Elephas maximus indicus: one gene and its partner. The protein of the gene in region 2 interacts with the protein of the main gene of each other region in a pairwise test. Links are inferred from orthologs where the notes say so. Each region holds a gene or a part of one and is shown on either strand. Other genes may lie near its edges.

What was found. The genes of interacting proteins can lie anywhere in the genome.
Region 1: the proteins of PRKAA2 (region 2) and CCNB1IP1 interact in binary tests that used the Homo sapiens proteins (3 or more experiments, as listed by UniProt). The two-hybrid records come from large-scale screens. The link is inferred for Elephas maximus indicus from reciprocal best matches to the Homo sapiens genes PRKAA2 and CCNB1IP1.

What each region holds. Positions count from the first base shown.
Region 1 is NC_064828.1:30,473,524-30,477,272, forward strand, and holds the start of CCNB1IP1 (E3 ubiquitin-protein ligase CCNB1IP1), read right to left. Parts: upstream 2,422-3,749; 5' UTR 2,394-2,421; intron 1,095-2,393; 5' UTR 1,058-1,094; coding exon 761-1,057; intron 1-760. UniProt on the Homo sapiens protein: Ubiquitin E3 ligase that acts as a limiting factor for crossing-over during meiosis: required during zygonema to limit the colocalization of RNF212 with MutS-gamma-associated recombination sites and thereby establish early differentiation of crossover and non-crossover sites.
Region 2 is NC_064821.1:100,488,302-100,492,050, reverse strand, and holds the start of PRKAA2 (5'-AMP-activated protein kinase catalytic subunit alpha-2), read right to left. Parts: upstream 2,190-3,749; 5' UTR 1,873-2,189; coding exon 1,779-1,872; intron 1-1,778. UniProt on the Homo sapiens protein: Catalytic subunit of AMP-activated protein kinase (AMPK), an energy sensor protein kinase that plays a key role in regulating cellular energy metabolism.

The DNA of each region.
Region 1 (3,749 bases), on a different chromosome or scaffold from region 2:
TTTTGCCAATTGCCTTAGAAGTCCCCTTAGAGTCTCATATGCTTTTTGAGGGAACACTAATTGATAAAGCCTTATTGAAGGACAATTGGAAAACATACTGTAATTTATGAAAACTTTAAAATGTTTTTATCCACTTTTAGGAATTTAATCTTAACAAATAATTAAGGATGTCAATTTGACTATAAGAACATTCTTCACAACTTTTTTTATAGCTTGGAAACAAATCATGATACAATGCAACCATAAAAATGATGATTACAGAATATTTAGCCTAAATTTTTAATACAATATTCATAATAGATATATTAACTTTAACTGGCCATAAAAACAATGTGTGGTATTATCCTATTTTTGCACATAAATATATATATATGCAGAGAAAAAGTCAAGTAATACACAAAAATATTAACACGGTTATCTCTAAGTGATGGAATTATGGTTGGTTTTTAAATTTTTCTTCCTTTTCGATTTTCAACAACATACAACTTTGTAAAAAAGAAAACAATTTATTAAAAAGAAAGTTTTTCTGAAAGGGCTGACTCAATAGGGGGAGAGCAAGTGGGAGAAGGGAGTATGATGTATGTAAACCTACATGTGACAGACTGATTGGAATGGTAAATGTTCACTTGAAGCTTAATAAAAATTAATTAAAAAAAAAAAGAAAGTTTTTCATACATTCATAAAACAACAGTGAAGGAAAACACTGAAAGCGCCCACATATGCCTCAAGTCATACTCTCCAGAGATACCTAAGCACTAACCTGATATGTCCAGAAGGCCAGCGCTCGGGAGCTAATGTCCAATACAATCTCTGGTCGCAGTCCTGCCAACACCATGGCCTTATATTCCTCTGATGGACTGAGTTCTGTGCGGACAATATCTAGCTTTCCAGAAAGGGTACTGTTGCAGGCAGGGCAGATAGCTGGTGAACGACTAAACTCTCCACTGCCATGCTGATCACAGAAGATGTGAGAGCAGGCAGTGACCCACGCATAACCAGAGAGTTTAAGGCGACACTTCCGATAATTACAAAGCAGCATGTCTTCACACAAAGACATAATGGAAGAATAAGGTCTCCAGACGCTGAAAAGAATTCTAATAGGGATAAATAAGAAGGCTGAATAGGACAAATTGCAATGAAAATAAAGAAGCAAGTCCATAAATTTTTTAAATGAAATATGCAATGTAGTTATTACATTTTATTATGTATTTGTATTTTATTATAATCATATTGATTTCAGTCACTCAAAGATATTAGCTGTGTTCCTTTATTGTGCAAACCATTGCAAAGACCATGAAAAAAAATTTTTTAAACAAATACAGGTGGTTTCTAATCTAATTTACTAAGATTGAAAATGTGTGCACAGAAATAAACTTTAGGAACTTGTTGGTACAAACAAGTAAAAACTAAATCAGTGATTTTTGCCCTTCCTCAGTACCTAAACAAAAATCCAAATTTATTATCCATTCATGGTTTGCTAGATTGTTTTAGTACATCTCACACTTGACAGATATAAAAGTCTAGGCACTGATTTCAGCCATTCGTTAGTGTCAAGTATTTTAAGCTACATTTTTAGGTTTTCCATATTTGCTATGATTTCTCAGATTCTTCACGTGTTGCCTTGTTAAAAAAAAAAGAGTAGCAGCCTGCTAGAAGTAGATGAAAACTAATCTGCTTCATCCAAGTAATTGGCCATTATGAAGCCTGAAAGCCTTCAGAAAAGCAGGTGATGTTCTTATCATCACAATTCACCTGTTAATATGAACACTAGTCAATGCTATGCTTCTAATGAAAGCGTTTGTAAAAATAAATAAATACTATTTTTTAAGTTACTTTTCAGTATAGTGGCCACTCCCATTAGAATTATACTAACCCTAACAGGGCAGCAATATTCTGGACCTACCAAAACAAGTCATATACTTCATACTCCGTATAAAATCGTGACAAACCAATTATACACCAAATGTTCTCATTTATCAACTGACAAATTCTGTCAGTTGCCTCAGATATAGGGGTCAACAAGGACACCCTGACACCTTTATCCCGTGTCCTCTCTGGGTGAGTCTTCATTGGTATGTGGCACCTGGCAGCGGGAGTTATCAGGCTTACTTTACCTCCGGAAGGGTAACAGGCAAAGGGGACACAGAAGAGCTGGGGACAGTCTTGAAATTGAGTCCTTTCTCTGGCAGAGCAAGATGTACAGCTAATTCCAAGATTTCCACAAAGTGAAGAAAGGAGTCAATTTAGTGGGCTGCCCAAGATATCCAGAGGCAAGTTTTTAGACCAACAAAAACTTCACTCTGGGATTCTTAGCCTGCCTTACCGCGCTAAAAAGAATAAAGAATAATGATAGTGATTACAGTAATAATAATAATACAAATAAAAATACTTACCCTGAGGCGCCAAGAAAAAGCGCGGGAAAACACCGTTGCCACCGCAACTTCACGACGAGCGAGACTGCCCAGCTCGCGCGCGGACACCGCGCGAGAGCGCATGCGCGGAGTGGCTCCACGACTCGGGCCGCTCAGGATCCTGGGACCTACCGGGCGGTGGCGCCAGAGCTGAAGCTGCGCTGAGAGGGCGGCTCTTCCTGACCACGCTCGTTGTAGGCTCTCCAAGGCGGCGAATCCGGCTGCTCCTAGTACGATCGGCCACTTCAGAGCCCCGCAGATACAGTCACAGAGTGCCGTTAACCGCCCTCTATTGGCACAAGTGTAACACCGTCGCTATCGTTGGTCTTAAACATTTGAAATAAAAGCCTCTTGAGGCGAGACCAGGGAAGAGCTGAGAGAAGGTAGCAGGCCGGATTGTGCCCCAGGTGCAGGGTACAGGCAGGCGTTTGACCTGGGAAATTTTTGGAATTCCCAACACAGGATTTGAGTTTTTTTTTTTTTTTCCAGGAGAAATTCCTAGAAAGGATGTGATTCCTGTAATTGGACAGCTATCACTTCCATCGTGAAACAGATTCTACCGTTTCCTTTTTAATGCATCTTGGAACAGAAATCTTTGCAGCTTTTATAGATTCTCTAAATGCAAGTTAAGGAGCCCTGGTGAGCAATTATTAAGCGCTCAGCTGCTAATGGGAAGATAAGTGGTTCAAACCTACCAGAGGCTCCAAGACCTGGCGATCCGTTTCCCTAAAGATTACAGCCAAGGACCCTTATGAGGCAGTTGTACTCTGTCATACAGTGTCCCTGAGACTCAACTACAAACAACAAGTACATTTTACAAAATATAACTTTCCTTGACTGAGTGCATTATGAACATTCATTACAGCCCAGTAGGGTCAGGTGTCACATCGTTTTTAAGGTTATATGCCTGTTCACACTCCTTGAACGGCTGTGCTGTTTAAATGTACCTGTTTTACCCTAATGCTGTTACCTGTCATATCTTGTGCTTTCCTATAGCAGCCACGCTATTTTCTACATAATCTGCATGGGCCTATTAAAATTTAGATTAAAAATTAGAGGAGGGCTTGAGGGATCCTCACGGGTCCATCAGTTTCCAATTTTCATTCCATTTTGGCTAAAGACCTTCAGAAATAACCCACGTATTTCCCAACACATTTTACCAAGTTAAAATAAAAAAAGGAGGGGGGGAGCTACAAAGTCTTAATGTCTGTCCAGTAGCCTAGAACACTGTGAACTGACCCAACCTGCTTCGTAGTGGCATGTGTCCCATTCTCTCATGGCACAAACTCTTCACTGGATCTGTTCTAGGGGGGTCCCTGGAGACAAAAACCACTGAAA
Region 2 (3,749 bases):
AAAAAAAAAAAAAAAAATTTAACAATTTAAAAGGACAAGGAGTAAGTTATATAATTTCCAGAGTGTACACGTCCAGATGGCAAAGGCATTGTTTGTTTGAGTAACTGCATGATGTTGTAATACAATAGTCCTCGATAATGATAATAACAAGTTAACGTTACAGGTATTAATCCAACATCTGATCTTCCTATATTCATTCTAAACATATTCTATCTACTCTATGAGGTTTTTCAAAGGTAATTCAGGACTTTATAGCCTTCATGGTACTTCAGAGAAGCTCGCAACCTTCTTAAGGTCTTTACACAAATATCACTTTGTGAGCCCCTTCCTAACCTCCTTATTGAAAATTGCACACCTCACAAAACTCCCTATTCTCCCTACCTTACTTCATTTTTCTCAATAACACTTACTACAATCTAAACATACTATATATTTTACATATATTTTGATTATTGTTTGCCTTCCTGATTTTGTTCCTTGCTGTATTTCCATTACCTAGAACAGTGCCTAGCACACTGTAGGTGCTCATTAACTGCTTTCTGAACAAATGAATGGACATTAAAAAATGGAAAAGTAAATAGAAACTGATCCTTACCACAGGAATTTGGGAACAATGAGTCTCTTCTACCTATTCAACGGTCTGGACTTGAAGCTAAAGCATGATTTTAGAAGAAAATAGAGACCTCAGAATAAAATGTCCAAACTATCTACCTAACATTTTCTACAGAAGAAACAAACAAACAAAAAGTCAACCCTTCAACAATCAAACAGAAAATACTTTTAATAAACTGGCTCTAGTTCTGGAGAGAAGACATGTTAAGTAAAGCCCAAGTGACTCTTATGGGGGGGGGGGGTGTTTATACATAACTAGTTAAGAAGTAGAAAATTCCAAAAGTAGCCCCAAAATGGGATCCTATCATCAAGAAAACAGACGTCAGCAGTATATGCCTTGGCAGGTTTGCCCCTCTGAGCCCAAATCTTCAAAAGTTCAGTACCAACAAACCTTATTCCTTTTCCCCATCCCAGAAACCTTCCTTTGACAAACACCAACCAATCTCCCATTTCTAATTAACCCATGACTTAATCCAGCGGTATTCCAGCATTTCACATAGCCAGCAAAAAGACCTACCCACCTCCTGGCCCCTGGAGCATCCGCTAAACCTCCAGCCCCACCAACTGAGACTCAGCATTAAAGAATCTAGGAATGGCAGGGAACTCCCAGCAATGCCAGAATTGGAAGACATCTTAGACTTCATCCTGGTTCTGCCAATTTGTGTGACCTTGGGCATGTTACTAAACCTCCACGGATCCCAGTTTTCTCACCTTTGCAGTGAAGATATCTTCACCAAATTGGGATTAAAGATCACACTAAAAGCACCTAACAGGGCATCTGGCCCGTAAAAGAAACTCAGTAATCAGTAAGATGTATTATTCCAGTCTCCCATTTTTACAGGCGAGGAAACTGAGGTCCGGGGAAGTGAGAAGTGCCTTGCTCCAGACCACTGGAAAGTGAAATCGGCACCGTACCAGGAACCCGGGTCAAATGTCCCCTGCACCCACACCCTCGCTCCTCTTCGCCCGACCCCTTCCCGGAGCCACCAAGCTCCGCGCGGCCCCGGGCCGCTCCACCTGCCGCCAGGCCCTGCACCCCGCCCGTCCGCCCGCCCGCCCGTCCTCCCGCGGCCCGGGGCTCCAGCGGTTCCCGCGGTTCTCCCGGCTCGGCCCGACCTCCAGCGCCTCGGGCAGCCCCGCGCGGCGGCCTCGAGCGCATACTCAACTCTTCACTTTGCCGAAGGTGCCGACGCCCAGCGTGTCCCCGAGCACGTAGTGTCCGATCTTCACCCGCCCATCGTGCTTCTGCTTCTCAGCCATCTTCGGCGCCCGCAGCCCGGTGCGGCCGGCGGCTCCTCAGTGCGGACGCGGACGCGGACGCCGCCGCTGCCGCCTACCCACAGTGCAGCGGGACCTGCGGAGGGCGGGGGCCGAGTCGGGAGACGCCGAGGGGCGCAGGCGGCGGTGACCGGTGCGGGCGCGGGTCCCGGGAGGACGGGAGGTGGCGAAGAGGAGGGGCCTGGCCGAGGTGGGAAACGCGAAACGGGCGGCGAGCCGGGCGCTCGCACCGTAGAGAGGACGTGTGGGGAGGCGGACGCTCCCGCGCCCGCGCGTGAGAGACGTCTGTGTGCGGGGCCCGAGGCGGCGAGGCGGCGAGGCGGCGAGGTCGTGGGCCCGGGCCAGGAGTGAACGCGGCGTCTCAGGAGGATTTGAGGGAGGGGTCCCGAGCCAGGTGTGGGAAGTCCGAAATAGGGTCAAAAACAGGCAGGTGCTGCGAGGAGGGGGATAAAGGGACACGGCCCGGGAACCCCTTATGAGGAAAACTGAAGGCGGTGACAGTGCGAAGGTGAGATTTGGGAAGAATCTTCGGAAATGGAAAAACGTGAAAGTAGCAGGAAGGGATGTAAAAAATATATATCTATGGGTATATAAAAAATAAAAAAAAAAAAACTAGTGCCATCGATACACATAGATATATACATACGCTGTGGGTGTGCGGAAAGTCCAGGGAGGGTGGTGGGAAGGACCTTGATCAAACGGCAGTCTGAGGAGAGCTAAAGGAAGTTTCTCGAGACAGGACCTGGCTGTTTTTTGATTGGCCGTGGTACATACAGAACCCAATTCTATGCTTTCCTTAATTGTTCTTTACATATTTTATAATTCCCAGTTATTTTGCCGTGTAGATGGAAGAGACCCTCTTCTCCAGAGCTCTCAATTTTAACTAATTTGCACAAAGTTTTCCAATAAATCAAAGTCACAGTGTTTGCTCGGTTGTACTTCAGCACATGCTCAGGTAAATCTGTAGTACAAAAATACTAGTATGTGACAGAGCTGTACAAAGGAAAAAGAGTGAAAGAAATGAAAACTGAATGTAATAAGCATAGAAAGTAAAGTACCTAAGAGGCAAAGAGGAATTGTGAAGAGCAAGGGCAATAAAATGGCCCAAATCAAAGAAATAATAAATATGATAAAGATAGAAGTGAAAGAAAAATAGTAAGTGGAAACTAGAGGCATGACACCCAGGCAGAGTGTTAAAGACTGACAATTTGGCAGTGAAATTATTTCCTTCTTTCCTTAATGTGGTCATACCTTTCAGTACTTAACAAGATTATTTACTGTTTAGGGACAAATTATTAAAGATTAGATGAACATTTAGGTAGCTGAGTGGTGCAAAAGTTAGTGCTTGACTACTAACTTAGAAGTTGGAGTTCAAACCCACCTAGCAGCCTCACAGAAGAAAGGCCTGGTGATCTGCTTCCATAAAGATTACAGCCAAGAAAACCCTATGGAGCAGTTTTACTCTGTAACACATGGGGTTGTACCGGGTTTGGTTTTTTGTTCGTTTGTTTGTTTTTAATTAAACATTTATAACACCGTATGTGTCAATAGAGTCTAAGCTCACATTCTTCAAACATGAGGTCCCTTAGCACGCTGCTTGTATGTAAAGAGAAATGTATGGCTAAGAAAAAATAGGTATAAGAGAAGTTTGTTTTCTTTGAAGTACTTCATATACAAATGGAAAATACACTTTCATTCTTCTTTAGACACCAAGACAATCTGCTGAGAGATGATCACAGCTGATAAATTATAGATATCACAGCTGTTGAACAGAGCTATTTTTGTTCATTCTTCACATCATCTTTCTTTCTGACAAGAAGTATTTAAGAATCACTCAACTGAGCTGGCAATTTGGAGAA